Cricetulus griseus: one gene and its partners. The main gene of each other region encodes a partner of the protein of the gene in region 2 in a complex. Links are inferred from orthologs where the notes say so. Each region holds a gene or a part of one and is shown on either strand. Other genes may lie near its edges. The genes, in order: Zranb3, Pcna, Pold4, Cdkn1a, Lig1, Mcm7 and Fen1.

Region 1 (3,942 bases), on a different chromosome or scaffold from region 2:
TTAAAACAGGTCTTCCTGCTGAGATTCTGGAGCAATGGGTCAGTGGTTAAGAAAACTTGATGCTTTTGCTGAGAACCCAGGTTGGATTCCCAGCAGCTACATGGTTGCTCACAACCATTTGGAACTTTAGTTTCAGGAAATCCAATGCCTTCTTACAGGCATGTATGTGGCATACATACATACGTGCACTCATAACACATAGAATAAATAAATCTTTAAAAAATAAAACAAAACAAAAATAGTGTTTTTCTGCTGTGCATGGTGGTGAATGCCTTTATTCCCAGCACTCTGATGACATAGGAAACCAGCACTCCATGATTCATAAACATGTGAGAAGCAATGGTTTAGGGCTGAAAAAGAAAATCAAAGACCGAGATATGTATCTCAGTCTCAAACTGCCTTGACTAAGGGTTCAGACTTCAAAGTCTTATTGCACTTACTGAGGCCCCAGTTTCTTCAGGTTTTTTTTTTTTTTTTTTTTTTTTTTTTTTTTTTTTTTTTTTGGAGGGGAGGGGAGGTTCAAGACAGGGTTTCTCTGTGACTTTGGATGCTGTCCTGGAACTCACTCTGTAGACCAGGTTGGCTTTGAACTCACAGAGATCCACCTGCCTTTGCCTCCCGAGTGTTGGGATTAAAGGTGTAAGCCACCACCTCCCAGCTTTTCTTCAGTTATTAAACAATACCAAGGCTGAGGATGTAACACAGTGATAGAGCACATAGGTAGCTAATGCAAGGCCCTCAGTCTATCTCCAGCACTCAAAAAAAAAAAAAAAACCTCAGAGCTGGGTTTTGGCAGCACCCATTTAGACATGTTAAAGTCTGCAAGGTAACAAACTGGGATGGTCTAGTCAAAGCAATCAACACATTCTAGGAATGCTCACAAAGTGTCAACTAAGGACAGACAGTCTCAGCCAGGTGTAGTGGTGCACATCTTTAATCCCAGCACCCTCTGAGGCAGACACAGGCAGGTCCTTGTGAGTTCAAGGCTAACCTGGTCTACAAAGCCAGTTCCAGAACAGCCAGGACTGTTACACAGAAAAAGCCTGTCTCAAAACCAAAAATCAAAAACAACAACAACAAAAAATCACATATGTGTCAAGGAAATATGTAAACACACTAAACCCATTTTTGGCTCAGACAAAATAGTAATATGATTGTCATTATTACTACTAATTGACTTGATTTACTCTGGAAGAGGTATGGGGAATAAAAACCAATTAAGCTTTTAGGGATCCTAATACTTAAACATCACTGGATATTCTAACTTCACGATGGGAATGAAGTAGCCCAACGGGGCTTTCTGCTTACCATGCCTGTTCTTCAGGAAGTGATGCGTTCATTAACACACATGCATGCACTCACACATGCAGAAGTATTACATTAAAAAGCAAAGACTTTTTTTTTCTTAACAAACAGAAAGTAAGACTGTGCTGGCTTTCTACAAGTTACTGATATATTTCTTCATCTAGGATTGCACTAGTTAGGTGTTTCATCTATGTGGAGTACAAACACCTCTTATCAGTACTGGACATAGACTTGGCAATACTTCTGTAAAAATAATGGAAATAGACAAACACGGTTTTTAAATCTAAAAGTAGAAAACAAAGAGAAAACCAAACCAACACACAAAACATGAGTATGAAGAGGATGGATTTAGGGAGATATTAAAAGACCAAGTAACATTAATTTTGTTTAATCTTTCTCTTCCTCACTCCTAAAAAACAAAACAAAACAAAACAAAACCTTTGTGTGCACTATTGAACCCTTTAAGTCTGGTATACTCACTACCTAGTCTCAGTGTTCAATAAATATTTACAAGAAAAGTTGTAAGGCTAAGTCTCCTTAAAAACCATGGAAGAGACTTTGAGTAGCTTCAGGCTTGAGGTGATCAATCTGGTATGCCTCATTTAATAAGCTTACTAGGTTGTGAATTCTGAAGGCTTTTTTGATGATGCCTTTTTGTCATTGGAGTATTACAAGTGTCACCTGGTCGCCACTTAATATTATGGAAGGGTTACTCGGGACCATTCCATTAGTCTAACAACCCGAGCTTTGTTCCTTCAAAGGCAACTTCTGTAGAGTGTTTGAACAGAAGGAATTAGCTCAAACTAAGGAAACAAACCCACGCTGCGTCACGTACAGTGGCTAAAGGCTAATTTTTTTTTTTTTTTTTGTTTTTGTTTTTGTTTTTCGAGACAGGGTTTCTCTGTGGCTTTGGAGGCTGTCCTGGAACTAGCTCTTGTAGATGAGGCTGGTCTCGAACTCACAGAGATCCACCTGCCTCTGCCTCCCGAGTGCTGGGATTAAAGGTATGTGCCACCAACGCCCGGTTTAAAGCAAATTATTAAAGTGTCCTCTAAAAACTCAAGAGAGGTGCAATCTACTAGTGAGCGGATCTGATAAGAAACATTGGGTCCGCAGGAATAAAAAACAGGATAGGAAATCACATTAGGGGCTCGGGAATTACACCCATGACATTCCACATTTCTCTTGTGTGTGTGTTTATTTTAGACAAAGTCAATTCTGTAGTCCCAGCTATTCTAAAACTCACTCTGTACGGCAGGCTGTCAACTCACGGCGATCTTTCGGCTTCCTGCTGTGATAGGCATGAGGCACCAAGCCCGGTATATTCACTTTCCAATCCTTTGGCCTACACAGTACTCCCAGACCGACAAAACGGGTGCACTAGCTTTAGAACCTCCAACTCCCGCCAAGCTTTTTGCAAGTGTAGGCACCTAAGCGGAAGTGACGTTGGGATGACCTGAAAGTGGGAGAGTTAAAATACCAGCACTATAAAACCCTGTGATGTCCTGAGAAAACTCCCCATCCTTCTTTTATATTTTCTCTCCTCCTTCAATGAGGCTAGAAGACCGGACTACAACTTTGCGACCTCATTCATAAGTCCAAATTATTCAAAAGGTTTCCCTACCCATTTGGAGAAGAGGGGCACACCGTAACCTTTCAAGAACTACAATTCCCATGAGACGCAACAGGAAGCAAGTGGAGAAAATTGTTATGGGGGTTCGCAAAGCATCTTGGGAACTGTAGTTCCATAAGTCAAAGTGCTCAGTAGTCCTGCTCTCCACCACTAAGACTGGAGAAACCAGGTGTTCCGCTTGCAATCCTTTACCGCTAAGGGGAGGAGCCTCATGTTTAAAGCCTTCCCACATCTCCTACATGAAGGACAAAAATTCTCATTTCATCCTTAGAACCTCTACAAATATTCTCTGAAGAAATATAGTTGTTTCCATATCCCCAGTGATTAAAATCTCCCGGAACTCGACTACCTCAGGGTCCTACTCGTGGGAAAAGGTGGTTCTTTCACAAGTGGGCAAAATGGCTGTCCTCCTAGCTTCGTCATTGGTTGACTCTTGCGTCCTTCAAGGACGATCGCTTGCCAGGGATTGGTTCTTTGTCTTCTAGGGGTGGAGATAGATTTAGCGCAGTTCTAACGCGGCCCCGCAGCGACAGTGGGGTGGAGCTAAAGTGGTTTTTAAACGTTGATTGGATAGACTTTATGTCACTCAATGTTCATCTAGCGTATGAGGGAGCCGGCTACCCGTCAACGCGAACGGAGAGGCGGGACTAGTGCGTGGTGGGAAGGGGCGGGATCCTGCCGCCGCGGCTGCCGCTGGAGCCGGTGTCCGGGCTGGTGATGGGGTTAATTCCCTTCCGTGAGACTCTTCCTTGCAACCAGCCGGCCCCGCCGTCGCCCCGCCGCGCCGCGCTCACGCCGCCTCCTCCTGCTCCTTCTCCTCAGTAACGCGGGTAAGCGATGCGGTCCCCTCCCCCGCGGCGTCCCGGGAATAACGCGCTCGCTCCCCTCCCCCGCCCGCCGACCGGTAGCGCTAACGGAGCGGGAGATTGAGGCAGCCAGGGAGCGACGCGCTGAGGAGACAGCGTCCCTCCCCGCCAGCCCGCCTGGGCCGTGGGTTTCTGAGG
Region 2 (4,059 bases):
ATGTTAGGAAGGCAGTGGTGGCATACACCTTTAGTCCCAGCACTCTGGAGGCAGAGGCAGGTGAATCTCTGTGAGTTTGAGACCAGCCTGGTCTATAAGAGCTAGTTCCAGGACAGCCTCCAAAGCCACAGAGAAACACTGTCTCGAAAAAAGCAAAACAAAACAAACAAACAAACAAACAAAAAGAGGCATTTGAAATAGAAACTGTGGACTTTCACATTAATATTTTACACTTTCGGCATCAAACATATTTTATCCATCACCAAAACAAAACAAAGAGAAGAAACATTAGAAATTAAAAAAAAAAATAGCTTTACATCCGTTTGTAGCTGGTGTCCACCACCTGCATTCAGTTTCCCCCACCCTTATAATCAACAGGAAAAAGAAATTTCAGTAGAACAAAACGCAGCAGGAACACATGCACCTGTAATGGCTGACATTTTCAGGAATGGGTATTGATTTTAACATGAAGTTATTGGTGCTTAGCCTCTAGGCCCTGGGTTCATCTCCAGCCTAGATGGGGTTCAGGCTAGGGAAAGAGGCGTAACAGGGAACTAATTAGGTGGGACCTATGGATTATGTATCTTAAGAGATAGTCATACTTTGGGGTTCTTTGCAGAAGTGTTCACGGCAAGAAGGAACTCTTTAATCTTTAGGGAGGAAAGTTCAGAGCGCCCAACACAGTGAAGTGATAGAAAACCGGGGTTAAGATGTGGTGGCTCCTTCCTTACTCGGTATTTTGCAGCGTTTTCGCCTACGCAGTAGCAAAAGCGCTCTGTAGTGTTTGAAACAGGTATACTTTTCGACTTCAGGCAGCCCTGCACCCCACCCCTCCCAACCCCCGACCCGCGCCTCCCGGCGCAGCTCGGCTTGCACGTGACTTTCATTTCCGTGGCGCGGAAACTTGCCGGGACAAGCCTCCTCCAAAAGGTGGGCCTCCGCGGATCCCATAATGCCCCACGCTTCCCACGCCCGTACGCCGCAGCCCCGCCTCTGTGTACGCGGCAGGGCGGGCCTTGCGCGGGACTCGGATACGATTGGTTCTGAGGGGAAGGTGGGTGGGGCAGCGCGGTGACGTCGCAACTCTCGCGCACGGAAAGAGCGCGCGCCTAGGAAGCGGCAGCATAAAAACGGTTGCGGGCGCCCAAGTTGGTAGTCGCTCCCTGCGGGTCCTCGCTGCCACTTCTGCATCGCGAGCCGGGAGACCTTCGCGGCCGGCCCTCTCTCCTGTCACAGTCTCTAGTATCTAGTCGTCGCGACTCCGCCAGGATGTTCGAGGCTCGCCTGGTTCAGGGCTCCATCCTGAAGAAGGTGTTGGAGGCTCTCAAAGACCTCATCAACGAGGCCTGCTGGGACATCAGCTCGGGCGGCGTGAACCTGCAGAGCATGGACTCGTCGCACGTCTCCTTGGTGCAGCTCACTCTGCGCTCCGAAGGCTTCGACACATACCGCTGCGACCGCAACCTAGCCATGGGCGTGAACCTCACCAGGTGAGCGGGTGGCGGGAGCTGGGCTCTAGCCCTCCCGCCTCGGGTCTTGGCGGGGCTCCGGCTCCGTGCTCTCATTGGCTGACGTGGTCATCCGCGCCTTCTGATTGGTGTCTGGAGCTGGGGGCGGAGCCCGAGGAAGCGCGCGGTTCTGAAAAGCCCGCGCTGGTGGCCGCGCGAACCCGCTGTTTCCGCGCCAAAGCCACAAAACGGGTGCCGGCGGGAAAATGCCTGCGTTGGAGATCAGTTCATTAAACGCCAGCAGCTTTTTTTATTTCAGGGCACAACCTTGTCCTGGCTAATTTTAGCTGCCTACTAAACGTGTTCTGGTGAAAATGTGGTACTGTCCACTTAGAGGGACAATAGGCCTTTTCTACTTGGAGTCTAGAATCTCATTGCGAATCATTTGTGGGAAAATTTACCAGTCTTAGCTTTTAACTTTGTTACAGATGCATGAATTTGCCACCGGTATACGTTTTAAAAGATTTGTGAAAAGGCCACATATGATATAGGGCACACTCTGATACACTGGAAACCAAGGACATCCTGCTCAAAAAATTATTTACTGGCATATTGCCTTTGAGTGGTTTTAAGGATCACATTCCCGATAGTTTACTCCCCCCCCCAGGGGATTTGGTGTGGGCGTAAAAGGGTAACATCTTGTAATTGCCTTTAAAAGAGTAGATGTTGAACACATGGTGTTGATAAGCCCTGCTTCTTGTTTTCTAGCATGTCCAAAATACTAAAATGTGCTGGTAATGAAGACATCATTACACTAAGGGCTGAAGATAATGCCGATACTTTAGCACTCGTATTTGAAGCACCAAGTAAGTTACACCTCTAAAACTCAATTGTTACAGAAAGCAAAGTATGATCTGTTTCTCAAAACTAAGGATATTAACAGAATTGCGGTTGTAAAGTTTTACACCATAGGTATGAACATGTGCTTCAATAACATTTGCTTCCTTTTGTTAGATCAAGAGAAAGTTTCAGACTATGAAATGAAGTTAATGGACTTGGATGTTGAGCAACTTGGAATCCCTGTGAGTATCTTGTTCTCGTTTCTGGTGGTCTTTGAACTCATTCTGTAGACTCAAACTCAGCAGAGATCTGCCTGCCTCTGCCCCCTTAGTGCTGGGAGAATATCCTGTTTTCGCTGGTGAATTTTACCAAGCTGTGATACCAGCTGATGAGTTCCAAAGTGGGTATTTGGAATGAAAGACAATTTCACTAAGCAATGACAGTCTAAAATTGAGTTTTAAAGAAATCAGATACTTGTCCTCACACTTCTGACCTTTAACTTTGGGATTTACAGGAACAGGAGTACAGCTGTGTGGTAAAGATGCCTTCTGGTGAATTTGCGCGCATATGCCGAGACCTTAGCCATATTGGAGATGCTGTTGTAATATCCTGTGCAAAGGATGGGGTGAAGTTTTCTGCAAGTGGAGAGCTTGGAAATGGAAACATTAAGTTGTCACAAACAAGTAATGTTGATAAAGAGGAGGAAGCTGTAAGTAGTAAAAGTTGTCTGCAGTGTCTGAAAGGGGAATGAATATAAGCTTAACTGCTGAGCTGGTTCTCCAGACCTAGCTCTTTTGAGGTGGAGTGTGAGTAGACCAGGCTGTCTTTGAACTTAGATACTCCACACTCTGCATATATGCTTTCACAGGTGGGACTGGGAAGCTAGGTGTTTCCAAGCTTTTGCTTCCTAGAATGACTGACAAATAAGCATTAACAAGTGAACAGAAGAAAATGGTTGGGGTTGTGAGTCTGTTGGGATCATGTAGATCTTGTAGTAAGTAGCTTTGTGTTGGACTTTCACGTGCTACCCCATTTAATGGTGCAAAAGCAGACTAAGTAAAGTTGAGTGTTGATAAGTTTTAAAGTCCTCAAAAATGAGGAAGATGTTGGAAAGGCAAAGGAAAAATGCCTGGAAAGCCTCATTCAAGCAGAAGATACTAGGCTAATTGCTAAATATTCAGAAGTCAAAACTTTTTAATTATACTAAGTTTTTTAAAAAGTTTTGCCAGCTAGTCTGAGCATCAGACTATAAATTGCAGACACAGTCTGAACTAAATATGATTTTTAGTGCTAAATGTAAAATTCGGAGTGCTTAACACAAAGTGTTTAATGTTATTTTGTCTGCAACTTGTATAACTGAGGATTAGAACATATATACACAACCCATAGGGCTGGTTCTTAACCTTAATCTGTCTGCTTAATTATTCCTACTTACCTGTCATCCTCAGATCACAAGGTATTTAATTCATAAGTATTTTGTTTAAAGCATAAGCATTACCACAACAAAGGAAATTAAGTTTTCAGTATTCACATGTTTCTTATTTCCTTAGTTTGAATTGGGACTTGAAAAAAATTCCTGATAAAATGAAAATTGGTCAACATGTCCCTTAGCTTGCATTTAACTTGTTGCTTCTTGTTACTAGAGTTGGTTATGAGCTGCTGGATGTGGGTGCTGGGAACCAAACTTGGATGTTGTGGAAGAGCATCGAGTATTAACTGTTGGGTCATCTCGCCAGCCGTGGTTACTTTTGGGGGTGGGAGTTGAGTGTTG
Region 3 (3,662 bases), on a different chromosome or scaffold from region 2:
AATTTTACTTAATGCTGAACACCATATGACATAACTGATTTCCATGTTTGTTTTGCTATATTTCAGTGGTAGTAACACCCACGGAGACCTATGGTGTCAGAACATAATAGTTGCTTACAAGCTGGGCACCTCAGACAGGCTTTTTGCTGGCTGGTCAGGGAAGGAGACTCAGAGTGCTTTTCTAAGTACCACCAGGGGACACCAGAGGCTGCTCAGCTCATGAGAAGACTGCCTTAGAAAGACAGATAGGGAAGCCAGGTGGTATAGTGACACAGCCTTTAATCCCAGCACTCAGGAGGCAGGGGCAGGCAGATCTCTGAGTTCAAGGCTAGCCTGGTCTACACAGAGAGTTCCAGGACAGCCAGGGCTACACAGAGAAACCATGTCTTTGCGGCGGGGGGGGGGGGGACAGACAACACAAAAGCCTATAGCTGGCTCTCCTGCCTACTTACCTTTTGGGAACTGCCAGCTAGAGCAGAGTCATATTAAGGGACTAAAGGTCAGGATTTCAGGCTTAATGTACTTTATTGTAAGCGTTAGTGAACTCTTTGATTCTTCTGACATCTGGCTTTGAGTCAGGCTGTGCTGGATTTACTACATCAGAGAGGGTATGGCAAGCATCTGGTGGTCATGATTAGGCCCCGGAGGTGTGGTCTCAGGAGCATCAGGAGCCTGTTGCTTGGACAGGTAAGAGGCTGAATCAGGATGACCTCCACAGTCAGCCTGCTAACTGTTTCTCCAGAGCTGAGATGAGCAGAGCAGCATCTACTGGCCATGGATTCTGTCCAGAAGTTCTTGGTGGCTAGGAGGTGTCAAGGGAAGAACAACCCGGGTGGAACCTCAGAGTGGGTAGAGATGCCAGAGGCTGTGGGAGACAGGGGAGGAGGAGGAGTGCAGAGCAGAGTCAGTTCTATTCCTTGATGGATCTTCAGCAGTTCTTAACTATTGTGTGTGCTTCTGTGGCTTTGATGAACCCCCAGTACTCAGATAGCCCCATGGGCCCTGTATATACTCTTGCACCACCATTAGCTCTTAGAGGTAAGGATCATTAAAGGGGTCTGTCTTGAGCCAGGCACCTAGAAGACCCTTCTTACTTGTCAGGAAGGACCCCTTAAGTCTGTGCCCATTTCTCCAAGTCAAGGAAGCCCCTATGCAGACCAGAGAGTGGCAACTCCTAGAGAAGGGCCTGGTTCCCTGAAAGCTGTCCTGACCTGAATTGGAAGCGGGGGTCTTCAGAGTGTGTCTTCAGCACCTGGTGCACCTCTAGAGGGGGCTTCAAGCCCATCTGCTCTGCCCGATGCCAGCGCTGCATCCGTGTGATACCTGCCAGGGTGGAAAGAAGACTCAGCAGGGCAGAAGAGTCCAGGCTAGAGGCCTCCACACATGCCAGTCTCAGGAGACAGTGTTAGGCAGGCACTTGGATTATTTCTGAAACACATCGATGACAGAACTGGTTCAGAGATGTGCCTGGTGGGCTGGAGGTGGGGTTCTCACCTGTGCAAGGCCCATACTGCCAGGCCAGGTCAAACTGCCTCAGCAGCTCCAGCTGTGCTTCCTCCTGGCTGAGGGACTGGGTGTCTTCTCCTGCAATAACATGCAGCTCCTCAGGCCCATCCAGGCCTTTGCCCTACCCTGGACACAGCTGTGCCACTGGCTGTATCTTCACTCATTTGCCTTTGCCATCCAGCAGCCAGACAGCTCATCAGAAGTATGAGACATACTAGCTTCTCTCTCTCTCTCTCTCTCTCTCTCTCTCTCTCTCTCTCTCTCTCTCTCTCTCTCTCTCTCTCTCTCTCTCTCTCTCTCTCTCCTCTCCCCCCTCCCCTTTCTGGTCCTTGCATACTTGCATACCCACTCTTTCTGCCACCCCCACATTTCAGAGACCTAGCTCTGGTGCCAGCTCCCTCTTGCTGTGCCCAGGGGGCCCCTCCCTCTTCTTCACAACAGGGTAGGAGTCAGTGATGAACCGCTTCCGGCCCATGGCGGCCACCCAGGCAGGCGGAGCAGGAGGCAATAGCGGGAAAGAAAAGGCAGGGCAGTGGGCCTGTGAAAGACAGCTGCTGAGAGTGTGAGAGAGGGCCAGAGAGAGATGGGCCAGCGATGGACAGACAAGTTGACCCAGACAAGCAGAGAGAGGAAGTCCCTAGGTTCCAGAGAATGACGCCTGTCTTCCGCCCCCACAAGCACGCAAACATCAGAGCCTAAGCAAATGGCAAGCGGCCTTTGTGGGGCGGGACCCTAATTTTAGCCAATGGCAGTCGTCAGAGGGCAGGGGGTGGGGCAGCTGCTGCTGCGTCCGAGTGAGGAGGGTTTAGGCGGAACCAAGGACCTGTCAAGATGCCCCAGACTTCACCACCTCCTCCGGTCCCTCATTGGTCCACTTGGGTCCCTAGGGACATATAGAGAGTTATCCTCAGCCTCTCACTTCCCGTTTTTCCTTCCTAGGCAAATGTTCTTTTCAGCCTCACTAATCCCCGTGGCCAGTTTGTAAGTCCCCTGAGCCCGGCTGGAACCTTTTACTCCTGCCGGTTGGCCCCAGAGCGTTGTGGGATCAGATCTTTAGGTCCAAAGAGAGTTTGAACTAATCCTGGCCTTTTCCCTGCTCCTACCGGCCCCAAGAGACCTGGCTGGAGAAGCCCATGGGCTCCGAAGGCTCCTTTCTCACAGTCCGCTGGCAGAGACACTGTCCACCCAGCCCAGGCATGCGGTTGCTGTGTCCACTGTCAGGCCCGACAGCCTGCCTCTGTCCACTTTGCTAGTCAGGAAGATTCCATTCCAAGCAGGATGCCAGAAGTCTAGTCCCCACTCCCTATGGGTTCAGATCCCCAGTTCTCCCCCGCTGCCCCCTTTTGGTTTTTGAGGCAAGGTTTCTCTGTGTAGCCCTGGCTGTCCTGGAGCTCACTTTGTAGACCAGGCTAGCCTCAAACTCACAGAAATTGCCTTACAGAGATTTGCCTGCCTCTGCCTCTGCCTCCTGAGTGCTGGGATTAAAGGTGTGTGCCACCACTGCCTGGCATAGATCTCCAGTTCTTTTTTTTTTTTTTTTCGAGACAGGGTTTCTCTGTATTGCTTTGGAGGTTGTCCTGGAACTAGCTGTTGTAGACCAGGTTGGTCTCGAACTCACAGAGATCCACCTGCCTTTGCCTCCCAAGTGCTGGGATTAAAGGCGTGTGCCACCAATGCCCAGCTTAGATCTCCAGTTCTTAACTGACAGATATGCTCTGTTTCTTAGAAATGTGTATATAACAGAAAATAACATCAATAAACCTTTCCCTTATATTGGGCTTACCATGTGCCTAGAGCTGTACTAAGCAGTTCCCACAACCTTATTCAAAATAGACATCAAAAGAGTTTTGCAAGTGGGTGTAGGTAAATTGTGATCAGGGCTCTTAGTAACAGATACTGTGTAACTAGCCTTCCTTGTGCTCCAGAAGATCCCAAGCTTGCAGGGTAGAGGGGCATCCAGTTGTCAGACCTGTACAGGAAAGCAGAAGGAGAAAGAACTCCTTAGAGCTAGAGGAGGATGGTGGGCATTGGGAGAAACCTCCAGGAGGTAGATTGCTGTAAACAGTGTCTCTCAATTCTGTACCCATGACCTTTGTCTTGGGGCTCCTGTCATCGCTGACTCACCCCTGCTATCACCTCCCCCTCACCAACTTCCT
Region 4 (4,012 bases), on a different chromosome or scaffold from region 2:
TTTGTCATGGCCATGAATGTATATGCAGGCACACATGCCAGGTTCTCATGTGGAGGTCAGAGAACAACTTTCAGGGGTTGTTTTTCTCCTTCTTCATGTGTGTGGGTTTTGGGAGCCAAACTCAGGTCCTTAGGCTTGGTGGCGTATAAACTGATGGTGTGTCTGCTCTATGGTATGGCTAAGGGGAGGTATTTTTTTTAATGTAGTTATGAGGAGAGAAAAGTCAGAGGCATCTGGAAGAGACCGGAGCAGAGAGAGAGAGTAGTAGAGGGAACATGGCCAGTGGACTGGACTTGTCCATGAGTGAAACAGGAGCAGAGAGAGAGAGAGAGAGAGAGAGAGAGAGAGAGAGAGAGAGAGGGAGAAAGAGAGAGAGAGGGAGAGGGAGAGGGAGAGGGAGAGAGAGGGGGCAAGCAGAGAGAGGGAGAGAAAAGAACAGGGAGAGAGCAGAGAAAGGGAGAGAGCAGAGAAAAGGGAGAGAACAGAGATGGGGAGAGAGCAGAGAGAAGGAGAGAGCAGAGAGAAGGAGAGAGCAGAGAGGAGAGACAGGGAGAGCAGAAAGGGGGTAGAGAGAGAGAGGGAAGGAGGGAGACAGAGAGAGCAGGCCACAGGCAGCTGTTTTTTTCCTAAGCCCTGAGGGTTTTGTTTTGTTCTTCTCCTTTTCTCTTTGCTTCAGTCCATGGGCATTGATCCCTGGCATGCTAGGCAGGGGCTCGACCACCAAGCTTCATCCCCTAATTCTTTGGTTTTGCTCTTTGCATGAAGTTTCATTTACTGAAACCTCAGGTTGACCCTGAATTCACTCTACAGGCCTTGAACCTTCCATCCCCCTGCTTCAGACTCCGGCCTGACAACGTGAGTATTCTCCCAAAGGCAAGTCCCTTTCCACCCTCTTCCCCTCTGTTCAGAAACCCTAGGTTAGGGAGGATGGGCGGCTGATGGAGCCATTTCCAGCCAGTTGAAATACAGAGAGGGAGATTGGACCTTTCTTGAGGTCTCAGGGAGTGAACCCCCACCCTTCCAGATCTAGGCTGAGCACAATGCACCCCCTATAAGAAATTCTGGGGGGCTTCCTAGCAAGCTGTCTCCTAGGTCCCCAGGGGATTCAGGAGATTTGCCAAATAAGGGATTTCCTGCATGTGGGCCGGTAACTCCTTCGGCTTTGATGCTGTTTTTTTTTTTTTTTTTTTTTTTTTTCCTTTCCTTTGAAAGCTGTGTACCAGAAGGAGGAAGTGGGGTCCTGCTGTGTGTGGAGGCAGTGTGCACTGTTCCTTTGTCCCTGTGTGGACCTCATGGTTTCATTTCTTGTGGTGCTGGATGGTCCACATATGTGAGAACCCATTTCCTAGGCGCCTCTGCAGTGTTCTCTCGGTCTGTGCCTCAGCGGGAAAAGCCTAGGATGACTTCCTAGGCAGGAGGACATCCCATCTGCTCATAGAGACTCCGCAAGAAGTAAGTCACATCAACTGTGTCCCCAGCCAGGGACTACAGAGACCTCTGCAGCCATACACGGCCATCTGTCAGCTTCCCATCTATGGTCTGGTCTAGAGAAGGCAATTTGAGTACTCCTGAGCCAGTTGACAAAGTGCACACATCCTCTTTAGAGCCTTCTCCTTCCTCCAGCCCAGGGAATAGACCTCCAGGCCCTCAAGATTGGGAAGCTATAGGACAGAAAGGGCCTGGACCTCTGACTCACTGCATGGAGAGCACCGGCCACCTAGAACACCTTTCCTGGATTCACGAGTGTGAGAGATGATCTCCTTCTCCCTCAAATCTTTACCTCAGTGAAGTAACTGGCTCTGTTCTATCTTAGTTTCAGTTGGTCTCACGTAGAATGAGTGGGCCTCAAACTTATGGCAGTCCTCCTGCTTCTTCCCCTGAATATCAGGGGTGTGTTGCCACACTTGGTTCAGTTTAAACAGATCTTATGTGGCCTAAGCTGGTCTCAAAGACATGATCTTCCTGCCTGGGGTTATAGGTGTGTGCCCCAAGCACACCCTTGTCACATTTCATAGTCTGTCTGTTTCACAGTGCCAGGCCTCGCTCCATGTCCCCTTCATGCCCCCTCCATGCCCCACCCACCCTGCCAGCTCTTCCTCAGCCCTCTCCTAAGCTCTCAAATGTTTCCAGGAGGACACATGGTCCCCTCTCTACAAGTGCAGGTCTCTAAGAAGCCACAGAAGATCAACAGAGGACATCACACTGGTGACTCCTGGCTCTGCAACCATAGTGCGGCCACTGTCACTGGGGCTTAGAGGAGCTGCTGCTACATTCCGGGGTGGTTCTGGTGCCAATATAACCCCAGAGGAACCCAGAGACACCTTAGGGCAAAGACAAAGATGAGCAGCTGATGGAAGGGGCCACAGTAAAGACCCGGACTCACCCTGACCCCTGCCAGAGTCATTCCAGCCAAAGCTAGCAGCTCCCAGGGCCTTGTTTCCTGTCATCTGCCTACCTGTGCTGGGTGGAGGGGGGGCCATGGTTCTGAACTTCTGAGGCCATTGCCCCACTGTGCAATCAGAGGCTCCGAACCCCAAATCCTTAGCACTTTGATGGTGTATGCTGGGGCTTGTCTTGGGACGGGCTTTAACAAAGAACAGAAATAGTAAAGAATGCCAAGTCCTCTCTTGGGGACCATCCAGAAAGTTGAGCTTGAGGGAGGGGTATCTTGAAGGCTGTTTGTTTTGTTGAAACAGGATCTCATGTAGCTCAGGATGTCATCCAATTCAATTTATAACTGAGGATGACTTTAAACTTCTTTCTTTTTAAAAAAGATTTTATTTATTATGTATACAACATTCTGCTTCCATGTATATCTGCACACCAGAAGAGGACACCAGATCTCATAACGGAATGTTGTGAGCCACCATGTGGTTGCTGGGAATTGAACTCAGAACCTCTGGAAGAACAGTCGTTGCTTTTAACCTCTGAGCCATCTCTCCAGCTCCCTCTTTCTTTTAAAGATTTAGTTTATAGTTATGTGTATATGAGTGTGAGGTTTGTGCATGTGAGTGCAAGTGCCTGAGGAAGCCAGAAGGGGGCATCAGATCCCCTGGATCTAGAGTTCCAGGTGGCTGTGAGCTACCAAATGTAGATTCTGGGTCCTCTGCAAGACCACTATATACTCTTAACTGCTAAGCAATCTAGCCCCAAGACCTTGAACTTCTGAACCTCCTGCTTCAATCTCCTGGTGCTGGATGACAGGTGTGTGCTGCCACACCCAGTTTATACAGTGTTGGCATGGGTCCCAGGGCTTTGTACATGCTAGACAAACTCTATTGACTGAGCTACATCTTCAGTCTATAATTAGATATTTTAAAAACAAAAATGATTGAGCTGCATTTAAATTTGTGTTTTTACCTAACAAACCACATTAAAACCCATTGGTGTGGGTTTGATTCTTACATCACAACAAGCAAGGATGAAGAAGGACATAGCGAGGGCCCAGTGTAGTGGTGCTCACTTTTAACCTCAGCACTCAGGAAGCAGAGGCAGGAACTGGCCAGCACAGCAGGTAAAGGCATTTGCCATCAAACCCGACTGAGTTCCATCCCCGGGCCCACCTGGTAGGAGAAGACTGATTTCTCTGACATCCCCGGGGCCCCATGAAACACATGCACCCACATGCATGTGCACACACACTCACTCACACAAAATAAATAAAGTATAACATGTGCATACATATTTTTTAAGAAGCACAAGCTGAAGCCAGGCACAGTGGCACATACCTTTAATCCCAGCACTTGGGAGGCAGAGGCAGGTAGATCTTCATGAGTTTGAGGCCAGCCTGGTCTACAGAGTGAGTCCTAGGATAGCTGGGCTACATAGAGAGACTCTGTCTCAAACAGACACAGGAGAAACACATGGCAGAGCGGACAACATCTGAGGAATGACAAGCAGGGTTGGATTTTCTGGTGTGACACACCACACGTATACATACGCACCCTTACCTACACAGATGAACACATACATACAATATACAAGAAAGAAAAAAGAAGTTGATTTTTTTTCT
Region 5 (3,500 bases), on a different chromosome or scaffold from region 2:
GGTCTTCAGACCCCATCTTCACTAATAAGTTTGGGAAGCTCAACAAGCTGTTCCAGAGATCTGAGCAAGTCATCTCAAGTTTCCTGGTACCTGCAACCTGTGTATGGCATCCACCATCTTTATTTGTTCTGTTTTTTTAACCTTTATTAAATGTGTGTATGTGTATGTGCACAGGCTTAAGTGCACACGCACACAAACACGTATGCACACACTATGAGTACACACACACACACACACACACACACACACACACACACACACACACACACACACAGATTTACCATACTGCTGAGTATAGAGGTCAGAGAACAAGCTGAGGAAGTTAGATCTCTCCCTCCACCATGTGGATCAAATTCAGGTCATCAGGCTTGGTAAAGCATCTTGCCCAGCCTGGTGCCTGCCTTCATTGTTTCTGTCTTCCCATTGCCCCACCTCCCTGACTCTGAAAGCTCATCCACCTTGCTAAATGCAACACAGACCTGTCTGAATGAGTTGTGCTACAACTGAATCATTTTGGATTCTACTGTTGGCTTAGCTGTTTGAATACTGTCTGGTCACGGGGTTTGAGCAGGGTTTTATATACATAGATGCCATCTCACACACATGATATCTTTAACATAGCGTGACCACTATTATAAACCGTTTTCTGATTGTCTTCTCAGTATTATTCTGAAGACTCACAGCTGAGGTTGTGCATGTGGAATCCACTGCTGTGACTGCCCCAAAGCCCCAGGTACCACTCACCTTGCGTGCTATCCCTTCCTCATGCGATTAATGCCAACCTAGTCCCAAATCCCACCGAGAGAGAAAAGCCATAGCACACTTCCCAGCATGCCTGTCCCGAGAGGCCTATGCCTGTCACTGCACTAGGAGTCACACAGGGCCTTCCAGAAGGGCAACCATATTACATTCACCAAGCACCAGGAGAGTTAGCATCTGATGACCCTTCTGTAGTCAGAACTCCTGGCACCCCCATTTTGCCATAAGCTGGGTGAAGGGTACTGCCCTCACTGAACAGAGGGCAGATTAAAGCCAGAGAGGACTGTGCCATTCGGGGCCTGTACTGAGTACCGTCCTCCCACAGGAGGGGCTGTGCTTTACCCATACCTGGGCCCGCTGCCCGTCATATTTGTACTCGCAGGTAAAGTCCACCTCCTCAAAGCGTTTCAGTACCTCGCTGACACCCCGAGTGGGATGAGCCAGCATTGGTTTAAGAGGGACCCCTGGGAAGGAAGAAAGCAAATTAGGAAGTCAGAGGGAAGGCTATGGATCAAGGAATTAGATAGAGGGAGCAGCAAAGGCTACCAATTTGCCCAGGACCTACTACTCTCTTCTCCTGCTATCATGTAAAGGACAGGACCACCCACACTTCAGAAGACACACTTGGGTCCCTGTACCAGCCTCCCTGGCAGCTAATAAAGGCCATAAAGCGGGCACAGGAGTAACAAGAGCAGTGTATGGTTACACCAGTCGCATGCTTGACAAGCAACACGATTACCTCCCCTGTCCCTGATCATATAGGATTTAGAGTGACAGCTTCAAGACAGCAGAGAGTCAAGAGAGAAGGAACCCAGGTCCTTGGATGACCACTGAAGCACAGCCACATGCCGCCATGGCTGCCTGCCGGGATCTGAACATGGAGGTGCATGACAGACTCTCCTTGGCCAAGCCACTGCCTGAGCCTTCTGGGAAATTTGTGCTGCTGCAGCCCATGCTCCTCTCAGTTCATAAGGGAGCGCTCAGCGGAAAAGGAAAGGGTCTCGGCAAAGGGAACAAGCAGTCAGAGGCTGTCTGGGTGCAGCTGCTCACTCAGGCTCCAGAGGATAGCTGCCCCTGCCTCAAAGGCCCGTGGCGGGTACCTGGGCTCAGCCTGCAGTGCTCTGGGAGGCGTTCCAGGCCATGTTCCAGCAGCACCGGGATGATTCGGTCCAGGTCAGGTACCTCACTAGGGAGAGGTTGAAGAGAAGAGAGCAACATGACAAGCTTTTTGTTTTCTTCCATGGTACTGGGAGGAAGGGTAGAACCCAGGATCTCAGGCATATGAAGGAGATGTTGCTGGGCCACAGCCCCAACCCAGATCAGGACGGATCATTCTAGGCAGACGACACTGCATCACAGAGCCATGCCTTAGCCCCGACCTAACTGTGAGATTCTGGGCAAGTGCTCAACTGCTAAGCCACATGCCCACTCGGGGATTTTACAAGACAGGATCTGCTGCACTGTAACAGGGTCCCAAGCTGGACTCTAACATGAAATCCCAAGTGCGTCCTGAGATTTCAGGTGTAAACCACACACCCAACCCATGGAGGTTCTTTCTAGAACTTGAAAACTCTGCTGTCTACATATAAGCGGAAGTACAGAGACCCCTCAGCCCATGCCAGACTGGGGCTCCTGAATACCTCTGCTTAACTCTGTGACCGTGTCCTACTCCCAGTCACCGTGCCACCCCATGAGGGTGGTCTCCCTCAGCGTGGACCCTCCCTCACCCCTTGCTCATGTCCCAAGAGCAATGACTGTGTCCCACTCAAGGCTATGGCCGTCCCGGCTGGTCTGGGTCAGGACAGAGCCTGGCCTGGCAGATGGTGGAGCCTCCAGATGCTAAGCCACTGGGTGACGTGTACAAAACTTATCACAGAATGCCCAGTACTCAGAGAAGTCAGGCCCAGATCAGGTGCCTTGGGGCTATTTACGGAACTGTTCACTGCCCTCCTTCACTGAGGAGGTCACTGAGTTAAAGGTCGTAGGTCAGCTGCTCACCAAAGTCCCTCCATGTGGCTCACTACAGAGCGCTAACCCTCACTGTGCCTGTAACATCGACTATGAGTAGTCACAGCCTCTTCTCTGGGTCCCTTAGGGCTTTGGCTGGAACTCCAGGCAGGTTGTGCCCGAGGCCCACATGCTCTCCTTGTCTGCTCTGCTCTCACTGCTCACAACCCAGCATCACCCCTGCCTCGATCACAGCCCCATGCTGGTGTTAGACCCATGTCAATCACTCACGTGTCGGCCACGACTCTGCCCCAGCCCTGCATCTCACCAGAAGGTCTGCTTCAAGATCATGCCTTGTTCTTCCAACCATGTCTTTCTGGCCTCTGTGGTCTTGCCCTTCCCAGCATCCACAACAGCTGGGGGAAATTCTATGAAAAGACCCACCAGTGGCTTAGTTATGAACATGACCCCTTGGCTATTCAAGGGCCCATAGTCATGGAGGGCAGTGTGTGGCCTATGACAGAGAAAGGAATGAGGTAGGCTGCCTAAGAGCATTCTCGGAGAATGGGGCAACAGATGGAGAAGGGGGGCCCTATAAACACAGTGTTGCCATAAAAATGGGCCAGAGCTACTCACCTTGGCCAGGGGGTGTGAGGCTCACAGCCAGGGCAAGGGCAGCCAAGACGGACTGCTCAGCCAGCCCGAGGCGCAGGCGTCCACTTAGGGACCTGAGGAGAGAGCAGCAGGGGTGAGTGGGCTGGCCACTCTCCAGTCTTGTCCTCCACACTTTGTCT
Region 6 (4,056 bases), on a different chromosome or scaffold from region 2:
TCTTCTGATGTACAGATATACACGGAAGCAGAATGTTGTATACATAATAAATAAAATCTTAAAAAAAAAAAGAGGGAAGTCTTTGGGCTTTACCAGTACTTCATCCAGCAGTTCATAGACAAGAGCCACATTCCGTGAGACGGTCCCCTCACTGAGTGAGCCACAGTAGTCACACAAAAGAGTGGCTAGCCTAAGGAAACACAGTTGAGTGTGTGTGACTAACCCTCTCAGGCCCTGCTTCTTGGGTGCCCATCCCAGCCCCACTCACCTGGAAAGCAGCTCGAGGAGGCTGAAAGGAGAGACGTTTTCAGAGGTTGTGGCCACCAAGTAGAGGCCACTGTGTCTGATGTGGATGAAATGACGGTCATCATGGTACTGCGGCAGAGTTGGGGAGAGAGGCATTAAAAGACCAGAATTGCAGTAATGTAGCCCACGAGATGGCATCCTAAGGTTGCTACTAGTGGGTGATCCCTGAAACCTCCCAACTACCTGGCCTCCTAACGTGTAACCTACCTCTCAGGATTGTTGACAGTCAAGTGATGAGGGTGCAAGGCTGTTGCTGGCATCTTGTTAGCACTCAGTAAATACACTTGGAGAAACGTATCCCTTCCCCTCCCTGGAAGCTTCCTATCAAGCAGCCCTTGAAAGGGAGCGATGAGGCACCCACCAAGCTCTACAGTCCTAAGCCCCTGCAAGCCCGCCACAAGTGGTTACCATGACAACCGGGGACTCGCCTCCAGTCAGTCCCGTCAGCTTCCGGTAAAAGAGCTCGGCCACATCACGACCACCACTGTCCCCGCGAACTGGAAGGATAGTTAAGGAGCAGGCGACCCAGAAGGCTCTGGGCTCCACTTCTACCGACTACTCCGCCCCGTTTCGCTGGCCAAGGATACAGTCTTTGTAAATGAGTGGGTCCCCCTTGGAGGACAGAATGAAGAACTGGGAAATCATGGCCGTGCTGGAGGGCAGACGAGAAGACGGAGAAAGCTGAAGCCACCCCGCCCTGCGGCCGACGAACAAAAGGAGGCACGGAGGCTGGCGCTTTAAGAAACACTCCTCCCACTTCCACACGGGAGGCCGTAACTCTGAGCCGCGGGAAACCCGGCGCCCCACCCGCCGGGCCAGCACTCTCCCTGCGGCCCTCCCCCTCGCTGCCTGTCACTCGCCCCAGACTCGCCCAGGGATTGGTTGAAACTGGGTGCCGGCAGCGGTTAGGGGCCCCTGCTCTGATTGGCCCGTACTCAGCGGCACGTATCACGTGGGTGGCGACGTTTCGCGCCAATTTCGGTTGGTGGCTGCATCGCGCCGCGCGCTTGCTCTGCGCTTCCCCGGAGTGAGGCTTCTCGGCTCGCCGGCTCCCGTCGCAGGTCCCCGGCAGCGATGGCGCTCAAGGACTACGCGATCGAGAAAGGTGGCGTGCTGGGAGCGGGCTGGGAGCGGTTCTCCGCGGGCTTCTACGCCTGCCGAGGGGAGCCGGGGTCTGTGTCGGGGGGCCCGGCCTGCGCCCGGGACGAGCGTGGCGGGCATCAGGATGGGAGCGATGCGGTTGTGTGAGGAGCAGGACCCAGCGGGGCCAGGTAGAGGAGGGCGCCACCCCGCACCGCGCCGCGCCGCCGAGACCCGGGTGACGTGGGGCTCGCCTGCAGCGCGCGGCTCGCATGCAGCGCGCGGCCCGAGGGCCCGGGGAAAGGGGGGGCCTCTGCCTCTGCTCTTTGGGGCGCCAGAGAATTCCCGCGTCCACTCGAGACGCGCCGGGGTTCGGGGGCGGGGCTTGTCAGGCCGCTGCGCGCCGGGATTGGTTGTTTTAGTCCGCCCTCCAAGCGGAAGTAGAGGCGGGCGGAAGTGGCGCTTCCCTGTCGGAGGGAGTGTCGTGTGTAAACAGTGTCCTTCCGCGCAGGGGCTCGGGGGTAGCTGCGGCGGGTAGGGGCGTGCCTGGAACTGGGAGGCTGAACGCCCGGCGGCGAGAGGTGGCAGTGAAGTGGCCCCGAGTGGCCCTCTGGCGTGCTGGCCAATCGCCGCACGGCCAGCCGCCTCGGGCGGAGGGATCCTGGGCTGTGAGGCGGCTGGAATCCGGGCCCATGTGCTTCTTTGTTTACTAAGAGCGGAAGCGGTGGCGGGAGCGGGGTGTGGGGTGCGGGGGAGGCCTAGCGGCGGTCGTCCTGGCGGGAGTAGAAAAAGAGTTGTACGGGTGGAAGGAGGACCGAGAGTCTTGAAAGTCGATCGTGTGCGAGCTGAGAGAACGGAAGAAACTGAGACTCCTAACTGGGCAGTGAGTCACATTCTCTTTGGAAGCTTGGGGTAAGACTCTCGTAACTGCCCAGGGACCTGTATCCTTCCCCGGGTAAAAGCAGACTTGTGAAAAGGGGTACTGCCCGCTTGGGGGAGAACTAGGTAGGCTTCTTTTGACTGTTCATTTAACTAATTAGTTCATAGGTCCCGTCCTAAATGAAAGTGGGTTTCTTAGGCTTCCGTTGAAAATTTAAAGAATCCGAAAAGGTAGATTGTGTGTGCTGCACGAACATACCACTACTTGCACGTGGGTGTTAGATACAGGCCGAGAGTGTGTTCTCTCCCAGCCTGTGGGTGGGGCCCAGGGATTGAACTCTGATAGTCAGGCTTGGCCGCAGTGGTCTTTACACCTCACTGTTCCTTAAGATTTGTTTTTGAATTTTTACATTTGTTTGTAGAAAAAGTTAGAAAATTCCTGCAAGAGTTTTATTATGATGATGAACTCGGAAAGAAGCAGTTCAAGTATGGAACCCAGTTGGTAAGTCCCAGGATTGGTAATGGGGGGTTGGAATAGCATGTAAGAACTTGTACAAGGTGGTCTACCTTGTTACAGCAAGTATGGCTGTCAGTGGATTTTTGTTTGTTTGTTTTGTGGGTTTTTCGAGACAGGGTTTCTCTGTGGCTTTGGAGGCTGTCCTGGAACTCACTCTTGCAGACCAGGCTGGTCTCAAACTCACAGAGATCCACTTGCCTCTGCTTCCCCAGTGCTGGGACTAAAGGCGTGAATGATTTGGTTTTGGTTGTTGTGTACAAAGTTTTTCTTTTTAGCTTTGGGTTTTGTCTTTTTTTAACTGTTTGAATTATGTTTATTCGTGTATGTGTGGGCTTACATGGAAATGGAGGTCGAATGTACAATTTGGGGGTCCATTCTCTCACTGTGGGTTCTGGGGATCAAACTCAGTTCTTCAGGCTGGGTGGCAGTGCCTGGCCCATTGAGCCATCACCCCTATTCTTGGCTCTTGGTTTTTAGAGATAGTATTTGTGTGACATGGACTGGCCTCAAGAATACTTCATGTGGTTAAATAGCTGAGATTGGCTTTGAACTCCTGATCATCCTGACTTGTGCCTCCCAAGTACTGGGATTACAAGCACACTGCCATGCTAGACTGTAGTGGCTAGTTTAGCAGAGTACTTGTCTGGTATGTGGGGCAGTGTTTATAGGAGTCAGGAAGTTGTTTTCGGGGCTGAAAGTGTTTCTGCACTGTGATCTTTTGTTTTTGTGGATGTAGTAAACTTGGTCCTTGCCTCAGGTTCATCTGGCTCATCGGGAACAAGTGGCATTGTACGTGGACCTAGATGATGTTGCTGAAGATGACCCTGAGCTGGTCGACTCAATTTGTGAGAATGCCAAACGCTACTCAAAGCTGTTTGCTGATGTTGTACAAGAGCTTCTGCCTGAGTACAAGGAGAAGGAGGTAGGTTGCTGGTTTCTGAGCTCTCCTGCCCGATAACCCCCATTCTTTTCCTGTCCTGCTTCTCACTTTCCTTGTCTTCTTTAGGTGGTGAATAAAGATGTTCTGGATGTTTACATTGAGCACCGACTGATGATGGAGCAGCGGAGCAGAGACCCTGGGGCAGTCCGGAACCCTCAAAATCAATATCCTTCTGAGCTGATGCGTAGATTGTAAGTGTCTTTGTGGGTAAGGTCAGGAACTTGTTCTCCAGGACCTTGCTGACAAATGTTTTCTTCTCTAGTGAGTTGTATTTCCAAGGCCCAAGTAGCAGCAAGCCTCGAGTGATCCGAGAAGTGCGGGCTGATTCTGTGGG
Region 7 (3,931 bases), on a different chromosome or scaffold from region 2:
CACGTGCTGGGATTAAAGACGTGCACCTGGCTTTTAACAATTTTTTTGTTTTGAGACAAGATTTCTCTGTGTAACCGCCTTGGCTGCCCTAGAACACGCTCTGAAGACTGGGCTGGCCTCAAGTTTACAGAGATAAGTCTATCTGCCTCCCGAGGGCCAGGATTAAAGGTGTGCACCACTGCTGGGCAATGACGCATGCCTGTTTAATCCTAGCACTTGGAAGGCAGAGACAAGTGGATCTGAGTTCCAGGCCAGCCTAATCTATATAGCAAGCTCCAGGCCAGCGAGAGTTACAGTGAGACCATGTCTCAAAAAACAAACAAAAACTTAAGTTGGAAAGAGAATCCATTTTAAGCAAAAATAACTGCATGTGTCAGGCAGTGGTCTACAGGCCAATCTGGTCTACAAAGCCAGTTCCAAGACAGCCAGGAGTACACACAGAGAAATCCTGTGTGTGTGTGTGGGGGGGGGGAACCTGCATATATCAGTCATATTTTAATGTGTTAAATATAATAAAAAGGATTTTCTAATACATAATTTACTAGCATCATCTTGCTTGCCCAATGATAGTGTTTCCACACAAGAAAATCCTATCAGGCAGCCGGTGGTAGTGTACGCCTTTAATACCAACACTTGGGAGGCAGAGGCAGGCAGATTTCTGTGCATTCAAGGCCAGCCTGGTCTACAAAGTGAGTTCCAAGTCAGCCAGGACTGTTATAAAGAGAAACCCTGTCTTGAAAAAAAAAGAAAGGAAGGAAGGAAGGAAGGAAGGAAGGAAGGAAGGAAGGCAGGCAGGCAGGCAGGCAGGCAGGCAGGCAGGCAGGCAGGCAGGCAGGCAGGCAGGCAGGCAGGCAAGCAAGCAAGCAAGCGAGCTGGGCAGTGGTGGCGCATGCCTTTAATCCCAGCACTTGGGAGGCAGAGGCAGGTGGATCTCTGTGAGTTCGAGACAAGCCTGGTCTACAAGAGCTAGTTCCAGGACAGCCTCCAAAGCCACAGAGAAACCCTGCCTCAAAAAACAAAAACCAAAGAAAGAAGAAAGAAAACCCTATCCTAGGAGTTCTAATTGTTCCCAATCTTACTCCATGGTATCTTCTCTGAAGCCTATGTGACACTTATACTCCCCTTCCTGAGTCCCAACACCTCAGTAGGAACAGCATCAAAATCTACCTGTACAGTATGGGAGCCTAATTAAAAGTCCCACCTCCCTCTTTCGATCAGCCGTGTGTTCTTCCTGCCATCCTTCCTCTCTTCTTCCTGTCTGTATTATTGTGGTTCCCCTATGAATACAAGCAGCCAAGTCCAGCCTTAGGGCTGAGGATTATAGCTCACAGGTACAGCAGCTTTGCCTAGCAAGGCTGAAGTCCCCGGCTGAATCCCCAGCACCAGAAATCAAATAAAAAGCCCAGCTTCGAATCCAGCCACCACCCATGAAACCACTTGATGTGTCCTGTGCATAACAACAGGGACTGACCTAGGGCCTCACATATGCTAGCGCCAGCAAGCGCTCTACACTGAGCCACATCTTCAGCTCTGTGAAACACAATTAAGGCACTTACTCTGTGGTATGAGTTGTGAAAGAATCATTTCTGCCTTGCAAAACTGGCCAACACCAGGTGGAAAGCACACATCACCAGATGGTGTGCCAGTGTTGCCCACCCAGTGCTCTGGTTCATGTCTCACTGCTTTGCTAGAATGAGTACAAGACAGCACCCATCCTGTCACAGAGGATACACTGTTCTGTCTTGATGCCATCTCAGTCCCGCCTCCACAGGATGTCCCAGATAGCAAACCCTTACATGAAATGGCTGCATGGAGGATAAAACGCCTCCCTCAGCCAGAAATATCAGAAAGCACAGTGTCTCGGGAGGCTGCAGAGATGGCTCAGAGGTTAACTGGCTGTTCTTCCAGAGGACCGGGGTTCAATTCCCAGCACCCACATGGCAGCTCATACCTGTAACTCCAGTCCCGGGGCTTCTGACACCCTCACACAGACATACATGCAGGCAAAACACCAATGACCATAAAATTATTTTTTTAAAAAAATATCCTGGACCAAAAAAAAAATAAAATAAAAAAATAAAAAACAGCACAGAAGAGGAGGAGGAGGAAGAAGGAAGGAGAGGGGGGGAGGAAGGAAGAAAAAGAAAGAAAGAAAGAAAGAAAGAAAGAAAGAAAGAAAGAAAGAAAGAAAGAAAAGGACGCAAGCAGTGTCTCTTGATGTCAGCAGACCTTGGACCCATTTCCTAAGAGGTACAAAACCTCCTCACAAGGGCCCTCGGAGAAACAGGCTCTGCTCTCTCCGGGTGGACTGAGGTTCTGCTTCGGAATCCCCGAACTGCCAGCTAACAAACTCCCCTAGCAATACCCTGTTAGTCGTCTTCCTCTTGCAGTACCCCGCAGACCCGGGCAGGAAACGGACTGAACAAGTCGTTTCTAGTGTTTCTAAAATAAGGCCGTAGTCCTCGCGGGGAAAGGTTATTACCTACTTCCTACCGGTGAAGAGACGGAGGCTCCCAGCAGCGCGAATGGTCAAAGCCGGGGCCGCCTGGTGCTGCTCCCGCGGTAACTCGTCGCTCTCAGCACCGCTTCCGCGAGGCCTCACCCTCCCTCGGCAGCTAGCGGTGGTCCGGCATCCACGGAGTCCTCAGAACCGACTCGAGCGCGTTCTTCTGATGTAGAGCCGAAGTCGTTTCCAGCTTCGCCGCCTTCCAAAGCCCGCGCTCCGGTCACGTGACCCGCCCTCCGCGAACAGCCTCCTGGGAAATATAGTGCAGTCTCTGCCACTTCAGACCGCAGCTTTCATAGTGGACCTTATTTCCGGGGAAAACGGATTAAAACAGAGACTCTGCACTACCCCCTCTCACATTCCAACCCCATGTCACTCACATAGGTCTTCAGAGTCCCAGTTACCGTTACACCTGAAACCGCGGGACTACAAGTCCCACAATGCCACGCGCGAGGGACCACATCCTCTTCCTGTTGCTCAACGCGCTTGCTCTTGCCGACGTGTTCTTCCGGTGGTGGACCGGTGGTTTATCGTGTGCGGGGCAAAATGGTGAGATGGTGGGAGTTGCGGACAGGGCTGTGGGCCAGGACTCCTGGGTATCCGGTCCACACCGCGTTCTTCCGCGGAGTCGTCAGCATTCCGTGTCCCCAGGGTGGGTCGCTGCTGGAGCCCATGTTTAGCTGAGGAACGGGGAAAGCAAGCCCCTTGCCGAGAATTTCTCAGACTGAGGTTTCCATCACAATGGGCTTATGATATTGTTGATCATAAGGCTGAGGGGCGTGGGGTGCACGTTGAATACCTTCGCGCGTTTATTTCTCTTTCCTATGATCAGTTATCGCTATCTGGAAAGTTTCCCTTGCTGAATTCATCCCGCAAGGCCCTTGGATACATGTCATTACCTGGTGAAACACTTGCAACTCTCACAGGCACTTGTCTGTTTTCTGGGCTCTTACAGTCTCTGTACACCTCTTGCCACGTTTCGTGGACCTCTTTTTTATCTGCCACGCCTCCTAGTGACCACCATCTGACGTGCATCTAGTTCTGGGGTGATGTCTATTCTTCTTTGTATTCTTGTTGCCAAACACTGGGCCTGCAATTGGAGGCTCCATAAATGGCAGCAATTGTCTTTGGCTTTTATAGGGGGGAAAGGGGGACATAATTGTTTACTGAATTGAATTCCTGTGTCTCTTAGAACAATGGGTTCAGTTTACTTCTCTGGAGTTGTTATGTTCTGGACTTTAGAGGCATTGGCTGGCAAGTGACAATGGAAGTTAACATTTGTACAGAACTTTGCATTTATAGTCCTTTCACAGGCATTATCTCATAATCTTCTCTACAACCTTAGGAAGGAAACAAATACCTATTGAGCAGTTACTCCATGGCAGGCAGTCAACTAGATGTGTCAACATTTATCATCTTTCTCCA

Evidence for each region.
Region 1: the proteins of Pcna (region 2) and Zranb3 are in contact, whole or in part, in a crystal structure (PDB 5YD8), measured with the Homo sapiens proteins. The link is inferred for Cricetulus griseus from reciprocal best matches to the Homo sapiens genes PCNA and ZRANB3. Residues at the interface, in NP_002583.1 of Homo sapiens: Met40, His44, Val45, Ser46, Leu47, Gln125, Leu126, Gly127, Ile128, Pro129, Asp232, Val233, Pro234, Tyr250, Leu251, Ala252, Pro253; in NP_115519.2 of Homo sapiens: Asp1071, Ile1072, Thr1073, Phe1075, Leu1076, Val1077.
Region 3: the proteins of Pcna (region 2) and Pold4 are in contact, whole or in part, in a crystal structure (PDB 6HVO), measured with the Homo sapiens proteins. The link is inferred for Cricetulus griseus from reciprocal best matches to the Homo sapiens genes PCNA and POLD4. Residues at the interface, in NP_002583.1 of Homo sapiens: Met40, Ser43, His44, Val45, Ser46, Leu47, Val123, Glu124, Gln125, Leu126, Gly127, Ile128, Pro129, Gln131, Tyr133, Asp232, Val233, Pro234, Tyr250, Leu251, Ala252, Pro253, Lys254, Ile255; in NP_066996.3 of Homo sapiens: Lys4, Arg5, Leu6, Ile7, Thr8, Ser10, Tyr11, Pro12, Val13, Val14, Lys15.
Region 4: the proteins of Pcna (region 2) and Cdkn1a are in contact, whole or in part, in a crystal structure (PDB 1AXC), measured with the Homo sapiens proteins. The link is inferred for Cricetulus griseus from reciprocal best matches to the Homo sapiens genes PCNA and CDKN1A. Residues at the interface, in NP_002583.1 of Homo sapiens: Cys27, Asp29, Met40, Ser43, His44, Val45, Ser46, Leu47, Ala67, Met68, Gly69, Ala96, Asp97, Leu118, Met119, Asp120, Leu121, Asp122, Val123, Glu124, Gln125, Leu126, Gly127, Ile128, Pro129, Gln131, Tyr133, Ala208, Asp232, Val233; in NP_000380.1 of Homo sapiens: Arg143, Gln144, Thr145, Ser146, Met147, Thr148, Phe150, Tyr151, His152, Ser153, Lys154, Arg155, Arg156, Leu157, Ile158, Phe159, Ser160.
Region 5: the proteins of Pcna (region 2) and Lig1 are in contact, whole or in part, in a cryo-EM structure (PDB 8B8T), measured with the Homo sapiens proteins. The link is inferred for Cricetulus griseus from reciprocal best matches to the Homo sapiens genes PCNA and LIG1. Residues at the interface, in NP_002583.1 of Homo sapiens: Met40, Ser43, His44, Val45, Leu47, Leu126, Gly155, Arg210, Ala252, Pro253, Lys254, Ile255; in NP_000225.1 of Homo sapiens: Ala361, Gly363, Arg364, Ser368, Ser388, Thr389, Gln390, Arg391, Leu392, Met393, Leu394, Val432.
Region 6: Pcna (region 2) and Mcm7 share a complex: the UniProt entries of both Homo sapiens proteins name them as parts of the replisome complex. The link is inferred for Cricetulus griseus from reciprocal best matches to the Homo sapiens genes PCNA and MCM7.
Region 7: the proteins of Pcna (region 2) and Fen1 are in contact, whole or in part, in a crystal structure (PDB 1UL1), measured with the Homo sapiens proteins. The link is inferred for Cricetulus griseus from reciprocal best matches to the Homo sapiens genes PCNA and FEN1. Residues at the interface, in NP_002583.1 of Homo sapiens: Cys27, Asp29, Met40, His44, Val45, Ser46, Leu47, Ala67, Met68, Gly69, Asn95, Ala96, Asp97, Leu118, Met119, Asp120, Leu121, Asp122, Val123, Glu124, Gln125, Leu126, Gly127, Ile128, Pro129, Glu130, Gln131, Glu132, Glu201, Pro202; in NP_004102.1 of Homo sapiens: Arg19, Phe27, Gly28, Arg29, Lys30, Lys80, Val167, Lys168, Ala169, Gly170, Pro188, His208, Ser210, Arg211, Leu296, Lys297, Trp298, Ser299, Glu300, Arg332, Ser335, Thr336, Gln337, Gly338, Arg339, Leu340, Asp341, Phe343, Phe344, Lys345.

Annotation. Positions count from the first base shown.
Region 1 is NC_048598.1:60,708,631-60,712,572, reverse strand, and holds the start of Zranb3 (DNA annealing helicase and endonuclease ZRANB3), read right to left. Parts: upstream 2,801-3,942; 5' UTR 2,552-2,800; intron 1-2,551. UniProt on the Homo sapiens protein: DNA annealing helicase and endonuclease required to maintain genome stability at stalled or collapsed replication forks by facilitating fork restart and limiting inappropriate recombination that could occur during template switching events.
Region 2 is NC_048599.1:46,331,537-46,335,595, forward strand, and holds the start of Pcna (proliferating cell nuclear antigen), read left to right. Parts: upstream 1-1,259; 5' UTR 1,260-1,269; coding exon 1,270-1,490; intron 1,491-2,216; coding exon 2,217-2,314; intron 2,315-2,462; coding exon 2,463-2,530; intron 2,531-2,802; coding exon 2,803-2,997; intron 2,998-4,059. UniProt on the Homo sapiens protein: Auxiliary protein of DNA polymerase delta and epsilon, is involved in the control of eukaryotic DNA replication by increasing the polymerase's processibility during elongation of the leading strand.
Region 3 is NC_048596.1:55,018,304-55,021,965, forward strand, and holds Pold4 (DNA polymerase delta subunit 4), read right to left. Parts: upstream 2,188-3,662; 5' UTR 1,982-2,187; coding exon 1,885-1,981; intron 1,585-1,884; coding exon 1,495-1,584; intron 1,324-1,494; coding exon 1,212-1,323; intron 866-1,211; coding exon of another isoform or gene 841-865; exon of another isoform or gene 803-840; coding exon 766-802; 3' UTR 501-765; downstream 1-500. UniProt on the Homo sapiens protein: As a component of the tetrameric DNA polymerase delta complex (Pol-delta4), plays a role in high fidelity genome replication and repair.
Region 4 is NW_023276806.1:257,585,737-257,589,748, forward strand, and holds the start of Cdkn1a (cyclin-dependent kinase inhibitor 1), read left to right. Parts: upstream 1-1,212; 5' UTR 1,213-1,452; intron 1,453-4,012. UniProt on the Homo sapiens protein: Plays an important role in controlling cell cycle progression and DNA damage-induced G2 arrest. Involved in p53/TP53 mediated inhibition of cellular proliferation in response to DNA damage.
Region 5 is NC_048602.1:26,552,844-26,556,343, forward strand, and holds part of Lig1 (DNA ligase 1), read right to left. Parts: intron 3,435-3,500; coding exon 3,343-3,434; intron 3,135-3,342; coding exon 3,035-3,134; intron 1,946-3,034; coding exon 1,860-1,945; intron 1,224-1,859; coding exon 1,108-1,223; intron 1-1,107.
Region 6 is NC_048597.1:116,878,920-116,882,975, forward strand, and holds the start of Mcm7 (DNA replication licensing factor MCM7), read left to right. Parts: upstream 1-1,256; 5' UTR 1,257-1,380; coding exon 1,381-1,411; intron 1,412-2,147; exon of another isoform or gene 2,148-2,298; intron 2,299-2,687; coding exon 2,688-2,767; intron 2,768-3,539; coding exon 3,540-3,704; intron 3,705-3,788; coding exon 3,789-3,913; intron 3,914-3,984; coding exon 3,985-4,056. Other genes in the region: Ap4m1 (AP-4 complex subunit mu-1), read right to left, coding at 94-190, 269-375, 715-803, 894-951. UniProt on the Homo sapiens protein: Acts as a component of the MCM2-7 complex (MCM complex) which is the replicative helicase essential for 'once per cell cycle' DNA replication initiation and elongation in eukaryotic cells.
Region 7 is NC_048596.1:50,248,125-50,252,055, reverse strand, and holds the start of Fen1 (flap endonuclease 1), read right to left. Parts: upstream 2,801-3,931; 5' UTR 2,494-2,800; exon of another isoform or gene 2,483-2,493; intron 1-2,482. Other genes in the region: transmembrane protein 258, read left to right, coding at 3,053-3,055. UniProt on the Homo sapiens protein: Structure-specific nuclease with 5'-flap endonuclease and 5'-3' exonuclease activities involved in DNA replication and repair.